Lepisosteus oculatus: one gene and its partner. The protein of the gene in region 2 interacts with the protein of the main gene of each other region in a pairwise test. Links are inferred from orthologs where the notes say so. Each region holds a gene or a part of one and is shown on either strand. Other genes may lie near its edges.

Region 1 (10,001 bases), on a different chromosome or scaffold from region 2:
GTTTTTCAATGAACGCGGCTCTTGCAAATCCGGTTGACACAGCCCACAGCTGCCTTCCGCCTGACTCACAGCCGTGCCCTCCTCCCCCAGCGACTGCCCACTGCCAGGGCTGGGCTGACCGGCGGAAAGGGGGATCCTTGGAAAGAGAGATACCAGGCTTGAACGCAAAGCAGACCCCAAGACCCCATTTCCATAGTGGTCCCCCCCCAAACAAAATTGTAAAATGACCAGACTATTTAAGGACTGTTTTTTAAATAAAAATACAGTAGGGGGCGCTCACCATGCGGTCTATGTGGTTCCTAATGCCCCAGTATAGTGATGGAGACACAATACCGTAAAAAGGCACTGTCACTGTCCTTTGGCTGAGACATAAAACCGAGGTCCTAACTCTCTGTGGTCATTACAAATCCCAGGGTGTTTTCTGAAAAGAGTAAAGGTGTTACCCCAGCATCCTGGCCAAATTTCCCTCTGGCCCTTACCAATCATGGCCTCCTAATAATCAATGAACTGGCTTCATCACTCTGTTCTCCTCCCCACTGATAGCCGTCGCATTATCCAGGTGGGGCTGCACACTGGTGGTGGTGGAGGGGATCCCCATTACCTGTACAGCACTTTGAGTGGAGTGTCCAGAAAAGGGCTATATAAGTGTAAGCAATATTATTATTATTATTATTATTATTATTATTATAACTGTTATTTAACTAAGCACCTTAAAAGTGTTAGTAGCATGTTTATTTCAAAGCACGTAACTTTAACCAAAACCACAAAACTTGTTTCAAGAGCAAGAATTGACAGATTCAGCCCCATTACATTTCTATCATCATTCGTTTAGCCAACGCCTTTATCCAAGCTGACAAATTTAAAACCATTCCAGAACATGGTCCAATAGCATAAAAAAGAACAACAAAACACACATACAGTACGGCGCGCACAGGGGGGACATGAAGAGGTGGGCACAGAGCCCGCAACCTGATGTTTCTGAGCATCTGGTTCACCCACAGAGGTGCAGCGGAGGAGAACAAGCAGGACAAGAGGCAGGACACTGTGAAGAGGTATGGAGAGGAGCGTGCCAAGCATGGAAAGAGCTGCAAGGCTGGAGTGACAAAGCAGAGAGCCAGTGAGAAGTGTGAAACAGGTGAGAGCAAAGATTTATCCTTGAGCCCCAGAGGAACGAATACACTAAAATGTCTCATTTTCCACGGCTCAGGGCTTGTAGTTTTGCATGATCAATGTCCAGAGAGATCCCCAATAATCCAGATGTATTACACCAAAAGCTCTGTGGATGCAGTATTCCAATACTGGGAAACCTTAATAATTACCACAAGAAATCAGCATGTAAATCTGTGTTTGATAAAGTAACTCCACGCCATCAAAGAGGACATCAGACACTGTTTTGTTGAAATTTAATTAAATTAAGAGAATGACTTCATAAATACACTCTCCCATAACAATTTCAGCAACAGTTCGACTGCACTTCAAAATAAATACTGGATTGCTAATAAAACAAAAATCTGTTTCATAAATATAAGAGCTACATTTCATGATAAATCTAGGAAAAGGCACTGAAAGAAGGTTAAAACTAAACTAACATTTAGCAGTAACTCCAAGTAATCTATTGATTGAAAAATAGAAAAATAGATTAGAAAATACTTAATGCTTGTCATTTGTGTTTGTGTCATTTCTTTTGACCCTCTAAAACCATTGTCAACTGTCTATACTGTATACATTGTGTTAAATACCAGGCTTTTACACACACGTGAGAATAAGAATATAAAAAAGCATTACATCATACATCTATATTTCTGTAATCCATTCACTCTCACCTCCTCCTGAGGATTGTCACTATGAGACAGAGCCTCACCCAGATGACAAAGGGTACAAGCTGGGACTACGCTTAGACACTCAGTTTACCTCAACCACCATGGCTTCAGGAGTTGGGAGAAACAGGAAACCAGAGCACCCCAAGAAATCTAGGCAGACTTGGGGAGAACATGCAATGCCCACACAGAAGGTTCCCTTGTTCCGAATCTTAGCCAGCACCCAAGAGAATTAAGACAGCAGCACTCACCACCGGATGACCATACCAGCCACGTATATAAAATAAGCCACCTTTTTTTTCTAATTCCCCATGATGCACCAGACCATGTAGTTGACTATGAATAAAATGGAAACATCTGAATTTAAAGCCATTTTTATTAAGGGACTGTCTCTACCATATCACCATGAGCTAGGTTATTGAATCTGTGGGGGTCAGTGGGTTTCTCTAATCTCTCTGGCTCCTATGCTAGAGGCTAGCATACACAGAGATAGTGCTGTGCAAGTCAACTGAAAGACAATGGCATAAAACACACATACAGAAGGGAGGACCCAGCAGATCAGGTGTGCAACAACTTCTTCCTCTTCACCTGAGCACGGTGCACCTCCAGGGGTGAGGCTCCTTCACGGTCTTCAGCGTGTACCTCCACAGGTGGGGACAGCTGGAGAGGAAGGCCTGGACCACGTCCTGCGACACTACGCAGTAGCAATGGATCTCCCTGAGACCACCACAGCAAAGGGCCAGGCTGATGAGGGCAGAGTTCAGCTCTTCGGAGGAGGTTGTCTGGAGCACCAGCTTCTCCAAAGTGCTGCAGTAGCTCTCCGCCACAAAGCCGATCTCCCTCACCAGATAGGTGTATGTGATCAGCTCCAGGTTTTTGATCGGAATCCCAGGTTGCAGAATCTTTAGAATCTTCTTGGCAGGTAGAGTATGATTTAAGATGGTGTTGACGGAAAGCAAGGGGTGTCTGGCACACAGAGAAGTCCAGAACTCTTTGGAAATGGCAGGAATGTACTTGTCTGTGCGCTCGCAGTACAACTCCAATAAGGAGAATGGAGGTCGTTGAGGCTCCAGGAGAGCACTCAGCACTTTCTCTGACAAGCTGGCGTAGAAGACCCCAAGAACACGCAGCTTAGGACACAGTGCCAGCACCTCTTTAATTGTCTCCGCGGTCACATTGCACACAAGAGTCTGATTATTGATATACAGCTTTTGCAGGTCGGGGCTCCTTCTCGCAATGTTCCTAATCAGGGAGTCCTTGAGTGTAAAAGGCATGTCCCTGAAGTCCACCTCCCTGAGCGAGAGGCCGCTGGCTTTGTTCAGACAGACACTCTCAATGCTTCTCAAAATGTCCTCGCCAGAATAGAACAGGGGGAATTCACCGGTGCAGGAGACGCACAGGGTTCGGAGTCTGTTGTCTCGATCTGTGGCGTAATTTAAAATTTTAATGGCTGTGTTCCGGTTGTTTATTTCCTTTAGGTCACTGAGCACAATTTTCAGGCGCTGAACCTTCCTGAGCAGTTTGCAGAACTGCTGGAAGCCAGGGTCTTCTGTTCCAGACTCACAGCTGCAAGAGTGATGCAGATTGCAGATTTCATTAGTTGGATCAAACAAAAAAAGCCGAACACATCTGTTGCCTCTGTAACTATTTTGGTGTGTATATATTTGATAAACTATACACTTTTCCTCTTATATTGAGCAAAGTGGACTAGGAGCTGAACACTGACCTGCCTGACATTTTTTGCCTCATCAGCAGTGAGCAGCTCCCAGTTAGAGCTGGAGCTTCAGACTGTCCCATGCAACTCAGCTTGTAGCAACAGAACCTACTGAACCAATAAAGCTAGTTAACTTCTGAACAGGATGGGTGGCACCTACACTATGGCGAACACACCAACCAAACTGTGTGATTAACCATTCCAGGATGCTTGCATGTGGGGACTCAGCATAATAGTGAATTTTTATACAGTGAATATGTACACTACCACCTTTCACCTTTGGGTTTTACCCATTCAGACAACATGACCCACCTGACCTCAGTGCAGGTCCAGACGGAGGGGCTGGCCATCGTCTGGGACCATGACCTGCACACCTGGGAGACACTGTACCTGTCGCACATCGGCAGGAAGGAGAAGATCTGAGCCAGGATCTCCTCTGGTAACTCCACCAGGCTCCTGGGCACACAGAGGGGCTCTGATCATTCCCATACTTAGAAAACAGGAAAGATTTCAAAATAATATACAGCTCCCCGTTTTATTATTAATTTGATAACTCCGGCCTGTTTGACAGCCCACTTGAGAATGAGGTGAAGAGTGAAAGGTCTTGGGGGGAAGAGGTGGGAGACAATGTTTTGCTTAGATGAGATCAACAAGCTACAGTAGAAATAAAACTATTTAGAAACACTGAATTGTACCAACAAGTATGGCGGACTTCAGGTAACCCGCGGAGCTGCTCATTAGAGAACAGTGTATTTTTCTCTTTTCTGTCCAATTATGGATCAATCAAGGCGTGACAAGGGATTTTTAACAGTTGTGGAGGCTTACATCTTACACAGAGGATATAACTATCCCGAACAGAGTCTCATTGCTGGAGGTCAGACTGAACACATTTTACTCAGAATTCACTCATCACAGGCTTCCAACGCCAAAAGATTGTGGACCCCCCACTTCTGCTTCCATGTTTGTACTGTCCGTTGTGATTTGGCAAAGTATCTTACCGGTATTCCCGGCCACCCCTACTCTTCTCTCTGTCCTGCATAGCTCCCCTCTGCTCATCAGCAAGGCTGCTGTGTTCGCTACCGGCGTGACGTCACGACAAAACAAGGCCACAAAGGAAGGACCGCCCCCTGCGGGCACCCAGGCGTCTCCCTCAACCAATCACAGCTGGCGTCCTCCCTTCCTACTACGTAATTGGTGGCTGCTTCGCGAGATGACGATTGGAGGAGTTCTGCACTGATTCTGCAGTAGATCTTTTAAAGTTCAATTTCTCCGTAAAGTCAGCTGGAAAAATACATCAGGTGACACGGACACCAGAAGAAAGCGGTACACTTCAGTTCAGTTTCTCAAACTCTACTGCGCTGGAGCAGCCTCGCCTTCAAAACAACCGACGAGCGGAGGCGGACAAAGACGAGTGTGTGAATTGCTATAATGCTCATTCCACCCGCTAGCGCCACCTAGGCAGGAGGTGTGAAACACCCGTGTGTTACTCTGCGGGAATTCCGTGTAATGGAAAATTTCTTTCCATGGAATACAATCGTGAATTGTACGTATAGCAACATAAGTACGGACTTAACAGTTTAAACCTTAAGGGTTATGGTACACAAGCAGTATAAACATGTTTATGAGCAAATAAGAACGACTGCTAATGACATAGAACAATTACGGTGTTGTGGGTTTCTTTAATTTAACAAGTGGTCTATACAGACAATCGTGCTGTGCACTCCTACCAGATCCAAGACTGGAGATATTCGCCAATCATTCGACAAAAATGATTGTGTGTCATAATGGCACAATGAGGAAGGAATTCATAGTCTCATCTGAAATAGAGGAGAGCCTTCAGTCTGGTATGGAATGCTAAACATATTGGAAAACTGCAACATTTCTAAGACTGCATGGCAATTCTTTGGTTATGTTTGGTTTACAGTTGTTTAAGCATAGCTGGAAATGTTTTAAAACAAACATACACATTAAAACGGTATAGGCTAGTATATTTCTGACCCCAAGTCTATTTCCATTACACGTTCTGCAAAGGGATGTATGTCAGTCATGATTGCTATTGTGTAGTTCTGAGCAAGTGGAGTCTAGCATCTGAAAGTCCCAGATGCTTGCAGGCCCTTATCGTGTGGTGTCTGAGACAGGTTCAGTTTTCAGTATTAGATCCTGACTCTGCTGGGTTATTGTCAGAAGCACTGGAGGCTAATATAGCAGTACAAACAAGTCTCTTCTTTATTTTATGAAGTCTGTAATTAATTAATACATTTTTGAGGATATAGTGTTCTATATTGGATAATAATATTTTGTATCTGTTTTTCAGATATACCAAAAGAGAAATTCCTAATAGAGTGGAGAAATAAATATAAAATAAAACCAGGACAGTAAGGTGAAAGGTAAAGTATGTTTCCTGTCTTGTACAGTAATTACAGGGAACAGCTTGTTCCCAATAAACATTTCCACTTTTTTAGGAAATTATGGATCAGTGGGACCTTCGCAGACCATGACTGGTCAGGCAAAATCATTGCACAATAATGGAGAAAGATCGGCACTGTATTTTATGGAAAGAATTGGGCCATGTCGATCATGTCTTAGTCCAAAAACAATCCTAGGGTCAGTGATAATATGCTGAAGCATGTGTTACTGTCATAGACTACTATGAGAAAACAAGACTGTTCTGGAGAACAATTCTGTTATTTTTCATAGCTTGTGTACCTGTAGTGGGCCTCAGCACTCTGCATTTTCAAACCAAAGTGAAGTAAAGAGAAACAGTGACATTCAAGCTGATCTTTATTGTTTCCATTACAATCTCGTGTTGGAAATGTAAGCAGAAGATGAATGAATATCACTCACTTGTTTTATAACACACCCTTGGTTATGTATGACAAGACAAACACAGCATTCGTTGTATTTCTTTACATCTATTTTCATGCTCGTGAAACACCATGGGATTTAATAGCCTGCGACTGTCCTGCGATCTGTCAGCACCGCCTGCATGCTGACCGCTGCACAGAGCCGTTCCTCTGCGGGGCTGTCCAGTGTCCTGCGGCGCAGTCAGCCCTGCAGCCCAGCCGGGAATAGAGTGTCGTGAGTGGGTGTTATAAACTCTATTGGCCCAATTTAATATATCAAATTAATTTTTTTATAACTTGAGTTAACATGTCAAATTTCAAAGCTCACTTTCTGTATTCCTACTTTTACACAGGACCCTATCATTAGATAATAGCATCATTTTATCAACCCTTTACAATTTCTTGCATTAGGAGTTTGTCTTTTCGCATACCCCAGCTTGCTCTCCATGAGACACACAGACAGGGAGAGAAGCTTGGGGTCAGAGCGCAGGGTCAGCCATTGTACAGCGCCCCTGGAGCAGTTGGGGTGAAGGGCCTTGCTCAGGGGCCCAACGGAGTAGGATTCCTCTGCCAGCTGTGGGATTTGAACCAGCAATTTTCCAGCCACAGGCACAGATCCTTAACCACAGAGCCACTGCTCCACCCAGATATAGGAAGATATAAGAATGTATGTTCTTAGATATAAGAACAATCATTACGATTCAAGAATCCCCCCTGAGAAAGACAGGTAAATCAAGCTGCAGGTTAGAACTAAGAGCTAATGACCTAAAATGCATAGTCTCCATACAGCAGACCTGAAGTCTAGAATGCGGCGCTCGGGGCCAGCGGTCATGTGACCCGAGCTGCCCCCGTGCAGGGGCGGCCGCGCGTACCTGACTGTGGAGCCAGGGCCAGCCCGGCCGGCCGCGAGGGCTCGCTCGCTCGCTCGCTCTTCCGCGCTCCGGGCACTTCCTGGATCTGCAGGGCTCAGCCCGACCTGCAGCTCACGACTGCCGGAGCGCTGGAGCTCCTCTCTAATGAGCAACTCGTGCCCAGCGATACGCGCCGCCACACAGGAAATCGCTTTGCGTTGTTAAAGAGCGGTAAGTTGACGGGTATATTATGTTCATTTGTGATTTCACAGGTTATAATATATCCAGTTTCCCAGATAAATATATCAGTCTTTTTACGGTACCTTTATGTAAACATGCTTTGGAGTTCTCAAAGTTTACTTTCGGTTTTCCCTCTGTCCTAGTCCTGAGGGTAAAAAGCGCATGGTTTGAAGACGTTTCCCGATCGCATGTTTCTCGAAATCAAACCCAGATAAATGGATGCTAAGTTCAAACTGTGGAGATCGAAAGCTTTTAAGAAGAATTGTTGTGAAAGCGAACTCAGCCAGTTTGCGGTCATGGCAGTAGAGCAAAAGCGATTTCTGACAAGAGCAAGTAGACTCTTCAGAGTTTTAAGCAGCGGCCATTCTTACAGGAAACCTGAAGTGTACAGCCGGCGGATGGTGTTCAGACTGTACAGCTGTCCTCTTGGCAGCAGAGTCGCAGAGTCCTTCTCTTTTTCTGGTCATCAGGAAGAGCAGAGAGTGCGCGGGGCCTGAGGTCAGTCTCGAGCTGTCTCCGGACCTGCGGTCAGCTCGACACACCTGGCCATTGTGATGCGAGACCCACGGACCCACGGCTAAGAAGGCCCCCTGCTCTTGGCCCTGGAGCGACACATCTGTTCTCTCAGTAAAGGGGAGAGTTTCAGAACAGACGGCTTTCAACTTTGTTTTTGTTTACACGGCCAGTTTTTTAACGTTCACTTTGTTCGGGGTCTTCCTGTGACCCCTGACCCTTGTCAGTGGTTGAAATCCGTTAGTTTTCTGTTACAGCCTGTAGGCCCCTGTACTCAAAACCTCTGGCTCTCAGATCCCGGTGGGAACAGGAATTGAAGTGCCTGCATGGTATAAACGTAGGGTTCTGGTCCGGTTCCTGTGAGGTATCTGGGACCGGGCTGGCTAGCCTGACCCGTGCACCCTGGTTCTTCCGTGAAGGCTGGCACAGGCTCATGGGAAACAGGGCGCGCTCTCGCAGGAGAGTGCCAGGAGGGCGCTGTTGTGGTACCGATTGTGAGCTTCATGACGGGTTGCGGCCCGTGAGGCCCGGGGCAGGCGTGTTCCGGGTTGTGTCCAGTGCGGCGGTCCTGGCTGAAGGCAGGCCGTCCGCTCGCGCCGCGCTCCAGTCTTGCGCTCGCCGCCTGACGCTCCTGCTGGTGGCTTTTGCAGGAGTCATGGCATTTTAAGGAGACGCGGTCCGGGCGGAAGAGAGTGGACAGTGATGACCGGCCAATGGAAACGATGGAGGAAAAGGTAACTGTGCCGCAGGGCGGTGGAGGAGGAGGTGGCGGGTTTTTAAGTCCTTGCTCTGACCTGTGTAAGCAGCACACTGGCCTTTGCTTTTTTTTCACACAAGCTTTTAATCTCCTGTATGTTGTCATTTCCAGAAAGTGATGTCGGACTGCGCCGCTGGCGTGTGGTCGGGCAGCCTGTTCCTCTTCCTGTGCTCGTGCTCTCGGGAGGAGGATCTCACCGCGCTGTTCAGGGACCCAGAGAAGAGGTTCGCGGTGTTCAAAGCCGTGAAGCTGACGCTGTCAGGTGGGCGGCGAGACGCCTCTTGAGTGTCGGCCTGGCGATGGGGGAAGGCTTGCAAGTGTCTTCCTTCTCCTTGTCAGCCCTTGCCAAAAGAATTTTATTTGAGTAATCGTAGGACTGGGCAGTGGGAAGTCTTTCTTTAATTGAACGGTGCTGAAATCCGTTAAGCAAGTAGGGAGCTGACTGTTGCTCCGGCCTGAATTAAATCGTGGGCACCGTGCGCGGTGGCGATTTCCACCAGGAGCGGCAGGACAAGGCGGTCCAGTGAGGCGCAGTGCTGCAGGATGCTAGAAAGGCAGGAAGAAGTGAGGGGGACCCCAGTGACCAGACCCCAGACCCCAGTCTCCAGTGTGCGTGTCCACTGCAGGCTGTGAAACTGAACCACGTTTTACTTTGTTTTGAGTGCCGTGCCAGTTTCTTCCAGTTTCTCAATCTAATGGTTTTGTTCGGGGGCTTCCTGTGACCCCTGACCCTTATCAGTGGTTGAAATCCGTTAGCTTCCCTGTTACAGCCTGTAGGCCCCTGTACTCAAAACCTCTGGCTCTCAGATCCCGGTGGGAACAGGAATTGAAGTGCCTGCATGGTATAAACGTAGGGTTCTGGTCCGGTTACTGTGAGGTATTTGGGAGCGGGCTGGCCAGTTGACCTCTCGCAGGCCGGTGGGCCCTGGTTCTGCCCGTGATCACCTGATGCACACACACCTGTCCCATCGTCCTTGACCCAGGCTCTGTGGGGGCTGGAGGGACGCTCCTCTTGTAGTCACCGGCTTCCTGCAGGGTTCTGGAGCTGATCTGGTTTATTATTGTTTTATCTGCACGTTTCTGTGTGATGGTAAACATATTTTCATAACCTCCCCCTCCTCCAGATGCGGCAGGTGGCCTGGAGGGGTACGAGATTCTGAAGCTGCACGATGCCCAGCCCAGCCTGGGCATCCAGATCAAGTTCATGGATGAGGGGGTGTGCAGGAAGTTCCTGCAGAGCTACGCCAGCGGGCTGGTGCAGCAGTT
Region 2 (10,224 bases):
GTTCTTGCATCACTTATATTTGCCTTGGCTAATCCCCTCATATATTATACATTCGTCCATTATGCTGCTTGTTAGTGGTAAGGTTCAGAGGCATTGTTACGATAATTACAGTTAGAACAATACTTACATTTATATAATAGCTTTACATCCCAAGGGATCCTAAACTGCTCTTTATATAGCAGTGAACCAACTATCACTGGAAGAGTAGCATCCATATGAGTGATCCATCATCACACAGCAGGTCAGGAAGAGAAAAGAATGACTTGAGCTGATTTAAGGGGTAATTTAGGGAGTTATGATTGTCTAAAAGTAGAATTTATCCAGGACACCAGGAGATGAACACCTATTGCATTTGCATCTTTAATGACCAAATAGCCTGCATCTTATTTTCACGTGTTGGACAACATCTTTTATAGCTCCAGGTCACTGGTATGGAAATTCTGGTCCAACACGCATCTTATAAGGGCAACCTACTATATTCTTTTTTTGAGGTCTTCTGAACTTAAGAGGCCGAACTTTGCTTTGTTTCCGAGATCTGATCTGTGGAGTGCAATGGGTGAAACTACCGGATTGAGCTGTTTGGGATTCATCTGTATGCACAGCAGTCCAAGTGGAAACCTCTCTAACCCAGATGGTCCTGTTGACGTGCACCTCAAAGGGGGTTAAAGGCAGTGGGCCAGGATTTGCATCTTCATTGTGCTGTCTTGTAAATCAAGAAACTTATTGGCAGGCAGTAGCCTTTTAACTTCATGTCCTCGCTCTCAAACATAACTTCACTGAAGTCTACTGTATGAGAAAGAAAGTGTCACAAATCATGTGCTTTAATTCATTTTGCCAGTAGGAGCAGTATCCTAGTGTTTTTCAGAACACTTTCATGTAGCCTGTTGTAAAATCATAGCTGTGTTGTGTCAAGCTGCATTTCAGAGATCTGTATTTGTAAACTCATGTCTTAATGCGTACCCCTTCAGGTAAAACCTCCAAAATCTTTGAAAGAATCGGTTTTCTTTAAAAGTTGCCAGAAACTAACCGGGTTCTTTGTCGAGTTTTAATGGCTGTTTGTCTTTTTAAAACTGGGGTTGAATCAAGCTGTTTTATAACATCCCTTCTCTTTGGATGCAATCTGGCTTCAATTATTTAAATATCAAACGCTGAGAAAAACTGGAATGGCTCACGTCCAAATAATGTAAGCAGTTCTTGAAGAAAGGCAGCAATTAGAAGAACTGTTTCCATGTGTGACTACCTTTGTGATTCCTTTTCCATTTTGAACAAATCTGTTCAATTTCCTTCTGTATAGATTATTAACAGAAGTTGAAATTGTTTATCAAATTAATAATAGTTCTGACGAGATAAAAGACTGACATTTTACTCTGGTTACATAAAATAATCAGAACCTAGACTCAATTATTTGGATTTTTTGTTTGTGAGCCAGACCTCAGTTATTAGCTCACATTTTCACCAGATGAATGCAGATGCAGCTTCTAGGATAGCTTTTGTCTCTCATGGGGAGCTATGGGGCCCTGCATTCAATTCCTGGGGTGCTGTCTGTGTGGGGTTTGCATGTTCTCCTTGTATTCACATTGCTTTCCTCCCACAGTCCAAAGACGTGCTAGTAGGTTAAGTCTCCTGTAAAACTGGCCCTGGTGTGAGAGGGTCTGTGTCTGTGTGTGCACTACACTTGACTGGTGTATCCTGCCTTGTACCCAATGCTTCCCAGTAAAGGCTCTGCTCCACCATCCTGATATGGATAAGCAGTTATTTAAATCATTGGTGGTGGTGATTATGGTTAATTCATGGTAAACTCACACTTGTATAGTGCAAGAATAGCTACATCTCTCCACAGAGTATTACACCCTATCACATTTTACTGGTCACACGTAAATCAATTTGTAGAGACTTCAAAGTATATGTGACATTTGAGAAATTAAAAAAAGTGAATTTGTTTAATTAGGAGAGGAAGGCTGTCAGGTGTGGTCATCACCCCAGTTTGGGCATTCACCCTTTATGTGTGCTGTTCCTTATTCACTCACTTGATAAACCAAGAAACTGACAGACAGTTCATGTTCTGGGAGTCAAAGCCACGCCACACCAACCCAGGAAAGTCAATTCCATATGATCCATCTGCAGGGTTTTCAGACTATAGTGGCTACAGCATGAGAAATGGCTCGAGGAACCAGTGCATCAGTGCAATGACTGCAGCCCATCGACTGCATTTGCATGATCTGCATACTTCGTGGGGTAATGTTGACAGCCAAGAGGTGAAATCGCCATCCTCTGATCCAGAGCACAACTTTGGTGGTGCTGAAGAGACTAGTGGAGCCATTTTGCTCTTCACAGACCTGGTGGTAGTGGGTGTGTGGAAATGTCGGGGTGAGTGCTATGTTTATTGTTGAGTTTTTCAAGCCAACCAGTGGGGTGGTGAATATTTGAGGACTAGAGTAGGAACCTCTTTCAACACAAGGACACCTCTGGTGCAGACTAAGGGACACCTTACTTCTCAGAGCTACTTTGATCAATTCTTTCCGTTGCAATAATAATAAAAAACATTATGTTATGTAACGCCTTTAAAGGTGGTTCTCAAGGCGCTTTACAGAACAACGGGAAGATTAAATACACAATGAGGAGACGGTAGATGGGAGTACTGAATACGGTATATGCAGAGGGGTATATAACAGAACCAGTTAAGTAAGAGAAAGGTTTTGAGTGTAGATCTGAAAGATTTTAGGGAAGGTGACTCTGATATCCTAAGGGATAGAGTTCCAAAATTTTGGGGAACAACAGGAGAAGGCCCTTTCACTCATAGTGTGTATATGGGCTTGGGGGACAGATAGGAGACCAGAATTAGAAGAGTGGAGGTTGCAAGGTGGGGGTAGGACGATGGTAGCTCAGACAGGTACTGAGATGCTAAGCCATGGAGAGCCTTACAGGTGAGCATGAGAATTTTGAAGTTGACACTAAACCTGACTGGAAACCAGTGCAAGGACTCCAGGATAGGAGTAATGTGATCACTTGCACTTCTGTTATTCGCTGCTACAGGACGGTCTTGAATTGTTGGCTTTTTTCACAGAATGACAGCACATCGCTCAAATTCCTATGGTACCCCTTAACGAACAGGTGAGATCTTGCCATTGTCATCTTTTTTCTCCTGTTCTGAGCATCTTTTGACATCTGTGGGGAAAAACAATGTCATTGACAGGAGACAGCCCTCCGCTACTTGCTGAGTTTGCACAGGAAGAGCGAGAGAATATCTGCTGTATAAGTCAACACTGCAAGCCATGTTTGCATTAATGTGCAATGGAGTCATACCCGATAACTCGCAATGTTTTTTTTACACTGTCACGTTTAAGACTGAACACTTGTCATGAGTACCTGATCTGTAATCATTGATCTGGTGTGTGTCTAAAAGTGTTCAAGATTCACAAACTTGTCGATATTCTGTATTCTTTCTGTAGGTAATTGTTTGCTGTTTCACTTTGGGATTTCTTGCTGTTTCACTTAAGGATTTCAAATCTATGTTTTCCTTTAATAATTCTACTTGGGGTTTAGAAATCTAAAAGGATAATATATGTGGAATAAAAATATGGTGGTGTGATCCTTACACATTTTGAAGATTACTCCTGCCATCTGGTGGCCAACCGGCCTACATCTGTCTCATGTTCCAAGTGTCTTAAAAGTTGAATTACGCAATTATTACTAGAAATGTGGATTCACACTTAATTATGATTCATTTAAAGATTAACCCCAAAGATTATAAAGATTATAAACATGAATAGAGTGTGAAAGAAGTGTTTTTATGTCCATATCACATTAAATAGTAGAAACTTGATTTTCTTATTTAGACTTAGACATTTTACCACCATGTTAATGTATTCACTACCACATTGACTGTTTAGATGCTGAAAAGCATTATTCATTTTGCTGTTAGGAATTTTGGCTGATGGCTTACATCGTCAATTCATTAGCACTTCTGAAAATACAAAATATTTAAAGAAATATATTTATTCTAGAGGGGATATTGGTGAAAGTATCGTTGAATCGTTTTCTAATTTTTGATTGTCAAATTGGGTACAAAATTCTTATTTTGTCTTACAGATCATTCAAAGAAATTCACTGAGATTATAAAAGAGCACTCTTACTGAAATGATTGAGATAAGTGACCACATAATTCTTTATCACAGGGACAAGCAATATATCTCTAGTAGGGCAGGTGTGTCTAGTGGTTAACTATGTGTCTTGGAAATAGCAGCACCTGAAGAGCTGGAATATTGTTGATGTGGTCCTATTAAGTCAATAATGAGCTGATTTAGGATAAGATCAGAGATGGAATAAAATCCTGAAGACTCACCAACAGTCCTGCACCAGGATTGGCCACACCAGCAAACATAATTATCTAGTTAAGATAGTTAAAAAATAAATCCATCCATTTTCTAACTGCTTCTTCTAATTCAGGGTTGTGGAAGAGCCAGAGCCTATACCCGCAAGCAACAAGGGTACACTCTGGACAGGATGCCAGACCCTCGCAGGCAGGCAGACAGACACATACACACACTCACATTCACATCAGGGCATGTTTTCCAAAAAACCAATTAACTTACCAGTGTGTTTTTGGACTGGTTTTGGAGCACCTGGAGAAAACCCATGCAAACCCCACGCAGATAGCATCCCTGGTCTGGGCTCAGTGGTCTGGGCTCAGGGCCTAAGAGCAGCAAGGCAGCAATGCTAACCACTGCACCACTGTGTCACCCAAATACAAAATAAACATCTTGGCTTAAACCGGAATTGTCTCTTTTTTGGAAATAAAAGTAATCTGAACGTGCACTGGTACTGGTATGACATTCTTCAACAATAATGGGGCATTGTTATTGTTCACTTTTAATCCCCATACACACAACAGAATAATAAAATTAGAAATGTCAAATTAATTTCACTCTGTAGTGATAAGGCAAGTGGCAGGAAGAGCTACAGGTGAACCTAATCAACACAAATTTCCTAGATATGAAAAAAATCAGAGGCAACCTATAACATCAAATTAGTTATTACATCATTATACACATAACATTATTATAATGTATCCAAATCTAGTTATCAGTAACAATATAATTTATTTTTTAGCTCTCATCAGTGATTTACGGGGTAGATAATTATTTATCTATATGAATCAATCCCAAATAATACAATGTTTGATGGAATAAATCAAAGGACTCAGGTTAAAAAGTGACTCAACTCAAACAGTAATATATTTATAGCAGTATTTTTTTTCGACAAGTGGCAAGAATGATCGGATTATTTAACAATACAGCCGATATTTTACAAACTCAAAATTGAAAGGATCAGAAAACGCAAGACCAAGAGGTTTCGTTTTGAAAAGACACATCACTCCTCCATTTACTGCATATTCTAGAATAACGCTGATTGCAGTCTGGGTGATTGCCTGAACCATAAATAAGAAGATATTTTAAATCAGAAAATCTAAAAGTAAAGAAGTAATATTATTTTATAAATAGTCAAACTGGTAATGTTTAAAACTAATGCAACGTCAATCAAATTAAAAAAAACATAGACCGCCGTGACATAAATTAAACCGGCAATATCAGAAGACAGCTAACTTCGTCGTCTTTCGCATACAAAAGCAACGGATTATAGTAGTAGTTGCTGTATTTGGGCCTTGCTATCGTGTCGTCTTGTTTTTGTGAAATAATACCATATTCACCGTAAGTCAGTAGCTGAATTGATATGTATACTATACGTGTTTTGTTGTTTTTTTTTATTTTAAGCAACCTCTCAATTTATCTGTCTGGCTTAAAACAACAACTGCTTACTGTAATGAATTACTGTTGCTAAGAGAGGCCTTTCTCGTGAGGCGCTTTCTTTATCGAGAAACGTTCCGTGTTGACGTTTAAATAATTGGCTTTTTAAATTCAGATATGTTATATAAAAAGTTCTATTATGGATTTTTAGCCATAGTGGTGTGTTTCTAAATTAGCGAAACCTTGGGTATAAGTGGTGGTAACGATATTAATGGCATTCTTCAAAATGCTAAGGTAGAAAGCTAAATTGGTTGTACAAAGAGCAAAGGGTAGTCTTTACATTATTTGTATAGTGAAACCTGTAAAGGCATATTTAAAAGACCTTCAAATTGGTCTCTTCTGTATATTCGTGAGCTCAGTAATATCGTGTCCGCTTAGTCTGTTTTGTGGCTTCATTACGCTGAAAATCATGCATCATCATTATGACAAGAATGATTTTTTTTTACGTACACATTCAAATCCGTTGACAAATAACTTAATACTGAAATAATGGTAGTACTCAAACGTCTCGATTACTAAATATGTTCTGTTTACTTAAAACATAAGCCGTTTCTGTCCAGTATTGAGGTGCTTGGGGCTAAATACAACATTTAGTTTTAGCTAGATGTCACAAAATCTCCACCATATTTACTTTTCAGATGCCTACTATTAAACTGCAGAGTTCTGATGGAGAGATATTTGAAGTTGATGTTGAAATTGCGAAGCAGTCTGTAACCATTAAGACTATGTTAGAAGGTAAGAAGTTCACATAAACTCCTGTGTATGACGTTTTCATTGTTTAAACTGTTAAAACATGAATTTACAAAACCAAAGGAGATTTGTGAGAGGAAAGAACTTCTCAAAGCAGTACTTTGTAGTACTGAATTTGTTACTGTTAAGGAAATATTTTTTTTTCCTCTCAAACATAGCATGTTGCTGTAGAAAACAAGGGACTGTTGTCAGTTATCAAGAATTTTACATTATTTTGTTATAGTTATTTTGAATAACTGAATTTTGGGGAAGCATAATGGGCCTTAGTTTAAAGTTTTTTAGATAAGGGTCTGAGAGGATACATATAAGCTATATTTTTAAGGAGAGTGTCCTAGTTGTAATATGCTCTGTTCACTTTTTATAATCTGCAAAAGAAATAAGATTTTTTACTGTTGAGAATTGTAGTGTACAGCTAGAAACAAGTTTATTTTTAGTGGATTATGTAGAGGATTGCATAAAAGAAAAGCTTGGAAGTTAACAGGTTTATTTCTTCAAGGACAGAAGTTTGTTTTACCTTTTTTCCCCAGAAGGGGAACTGTGAAATGAATAATTGCAATGGTTGCCTAGTCTGGTTGTGTAAACAGACCTTTGGATCATTTATGGGTCCTCAGAATTTTAGAAAACCTGCTGGAAGGTAGATCTCATTTTCTGACATTGATATACTGTGTTCGCTAATTTTGGCACAGACTTAGGCATGGACGATGAAGGTGATGATGATCCTGTTCCACTTCCCAATGTTAATGCAGCTATTCTGAAAAAGGTAACGTTTTTTATTTTCTAATTTTAAATACAGTATGTCTGTACATATGGCTAATAAAATGGTCTTATATACAATTTCTTGCATTAGGAATTTGTCTTTTCGTATACCCCAGCTTGCTCTCCATGAGACATAGAGACAGGGAAAAATGTTTGGGGGTCAGAGCGCAGGGTCAGCCATTTATACGGCGCCCCTGGAGCAGTTGGGGTTAAGGGCCTTGCTCAGGGGCCCAACAGAGTAGGATTCCTCTGCCGGCCACAGGATACAAACCGGCAACCTTCCAGCCACAGACACAGATCCTTAACCACAGAGCCACCGCACCACCCATGTCTTTCCACGGGATAGTTTCTCATAATGAAGTAGTGAGTGTAGCTATAACATTTCGGCTGGATGTTAGATTAGCCCGTAGTTCCAGGGAATTCTGTTTCTTTGCTATGTTCTGGTATGTACTGTATGAAATGTATCCATGCTCCCTTCAGATAATTACAATTGAAATTAATAATATATATGAATTTATCTGAAAATTCCTTTCCGATTCCTGAAAACTTGTTTTTCTCCTTTTAATTGTTTAGGTGATTCAGTGGTGCACTCATCACAAAGATGACCCCCCTCCTCCTGAAGATGATGAAAACAAAGAGAAGAGAACAGATGATATCCCTGTGTGGGATCAGGAGTTCCTGAAAGTTGACCAGGGAACACTTTTTGAGCTTATCCTGGTGTGTATTATTAATTCTTCATTGGGTTTGAAAAGTGTGAACATTAATGTCTTTGTAGGTTATTTCAGGTACTTAATTGTCTAAGTGTGTGCTTAAGAGTTGGTAATAATTAGTTAGAAACTCAATAAAATTAGATCACTAGGCTCCTTGCTTTTGTTGTAATTTATAACAGCAGTGCAAATAGTTGTCCACTGAAAATATAATCCAACTTAGTGATTCAACTGTAAAGCACAAATTGGTTTCTTCTGCTTGTTTGTATGAGTGACTTGTGTTCTGTAAAAGTAGTTTTACTTGTAAGGCTGTTGTGAAATTCTTGGCTCTGATGTGGCTGTTTTGCAATCAGTATAGCTGTCCCACTCCTGTTTTGTTATGTAATACATACTTAATTTGTAATCTGAGCACATTTGACCTTTGTGAACTAGCTTTAAATGCTTTGCATCTTTTTCCAGTACGTTGCTTTACAGAAGTCAGTGTCATCTTATACACAATCAGGAGTTGCAGTTTCTATTTTAAAGCATCAACAAATTCCTCACAACCTTCTCTCATAACTCAAATAAGATCCCGAAACAGAAGCAAAACCTTGTTTAATGATGCTTTTCCAATACTTAATCATTTTAACTTGGTATGACAGTAGTTTGAAATAAGTTACAATTTTGATGTGTTTATGAAGAAGAGATTAAAACTGAGTCAGCATCATATACAAGATGGTGTACATGAAGAATGTGTTTGGAAGGCTGCAAATTTCAGTTTGCAGTGGACCAAAGTGAATGGAGCTGGAAAAATCATGGCGTAAAGATGTTGGTTGTTTTGAACTTGCTTTGGTCTACATCATGTGACATTGCTAGTCACAAACAAAAGTTCTTTAGAAATGTGCTATATCATAGGTTTTGTATCCTCTTCAACTGTTGGTCTTGCATTGAAAACTAGCAGTTTATTAAGATCATCTATAATTTCTAAATCCCTGATGATTATTGCTATAAAGATCTTTAAATTTAGTTTTTCCCATAATCTCAGAAGTTTTACTGATTTGTCTACTCGCCTTGTTCAGTATCTTTGTAATGGATAGATTTAACATGTTTTTTTTTTTCCAGTTGGTAAGAACAACCCCAGTTTTAAGAGCATGTGAAATATCCAAGTTAAAGCAAAATATATAACAAAATCTTTGAATCTTTAAGTGCTACTGGATGTCCAGCTGATTGGTTAAAATAAGAATGTTAGATTAAGCAGGGCCTTTTTTCAGATAGTTCTTTCAGGCATGCAAATCTTTAATCTTTCTAGTAGAAATGTGAAAAAGGTGTATTCAATACATTTGTGTTATAAAGTGCAGTTACTCACTTGCTAACCATTACACACTTAACTGTCTCCTTTACTGTTTTTAACAGTTATGGTAGTAAAAAAACCTTCTATTAGTTGTGGCTCCCACAGCAATACATTTATTAGCCTTTCTAATGTCCTGTTTTGTCAGTAATGACTGCCATTTTGTCAGTCATTAGACTGATTATGAACTGTTTCTCATTCCTGCAATATCGATTTGCCTGAAAGTATGTGCCTTCCAGAGTTTTGATCTGAATATAATGTTTTTACATGTATACATCTTTTCAAGGCTGCAAACTATTTGGACATCAAGGGACTGTTAGATGTTACATGCAAGACAGTTGCTAACATGATTAAAGGAAAAACTCCAGAAGAAATTCGAAAGACCTTTAATATCAAAAATGACTTCACTGAGGAAGAAGAAGCACAGGTAATTACTTCAGTTTGTGTGTAGACGTGGTTAACGTTGATATCCTATGCATTACATCCATCCATTTTCTTAACCGCTTCATCCAGTTCAGGTTCGCAGGAGAGCTGGACCCTTAACCTGGCAAGCCACAGGGACAAGGCAGGGTACACTTTGGATAGGACACCAGTCCATCACACGGCAGACACACAGACGCACAATGACAGATACACACATTCTCACCAGGGCTACTTGTTTTGTGTTTTTTTTTTTTAGACCGTAGGAAGAAACCCATGTTAACAGAGAGAACATATAAACTCCACATAGATAGCACCTGGACTTGAACCCAGTGCCCCAGTGCAGCGAGGCAGCAGTGCTAACCACTGCACCACCGTACTGTCCTCCCACATATTGCAGTTGTATATTAATGTCCTAATATGGTGATTTGCTGTCATGTTAACAAGCAGAAGATTCCAT

Evidence for each region.
Region 1: the proteins of skp1 (region 2) and fbxl8 interact in binary tests that used the Homo sapiens proteins (3 or more experiments, as listed by UniProt). The link is inferred for Lepisosteus oculatus from reciprocal best matches to the Homo sapiens genes SKP1 and FBXL8.

Annotation. Positions count from the first base shown.
Region 1 is NC_090715.1:940,078-950,078, forward strand, and holds fbxl8 (F-box/LRR-repeat protein 8), read right to left. Parts: upstream 4,917-10,001; 5' UTR 4,588-4,916; coding exon of another isoform or gene 4,571-4,587; coding exon 4,530-4,570; intron 3,988-4,529; coding exon 3,844-3,987; intron 3,640-3,843; coding exon 3,544-3,639; intron 3,384-3,543; coding exon 2,402-3,383; 3' UTR 2,176-2,401; downstream 1-2,175. Other genes in the region: tradd (tumor necrosis factor receptor type 1-associated DEATH domain protein), read left to right, coding at 8,692-8,712, 8,847-8,997, 9,860-10,001. UniProt on the Homo sapiens protein: Substrate-recognition component of the SCF (SKP1-CUL1-F-box protein)-type E3 ubiquitin ligase complex.
Region 2 is NC_090706.1:23,940,194-23,950,417, forward strand, and holds the start of skp1 (S-phase kinase-associated protein 1), read left to right. Parts: upstream 1-5,597; 5' UTR 5,598-5,708; intron 5,709-6,442; coding exon 6,443-6,539; intron 6,540-7,240; coding exon 7,241-7,314; intron 7,315-7,883; coding exon 7,884-8,027; intron 8,028-9,630; coding exon 9,631-9,771; intron 9,772-10,224. UniProt on the Homo sapiens protein: Essential component of the SCF (SKP1-CUL1-F-box protein) ubiquitin ligase complex, which mediates the ubiquitination of proteins involved in cell cycle progression, signal transduction and transcription.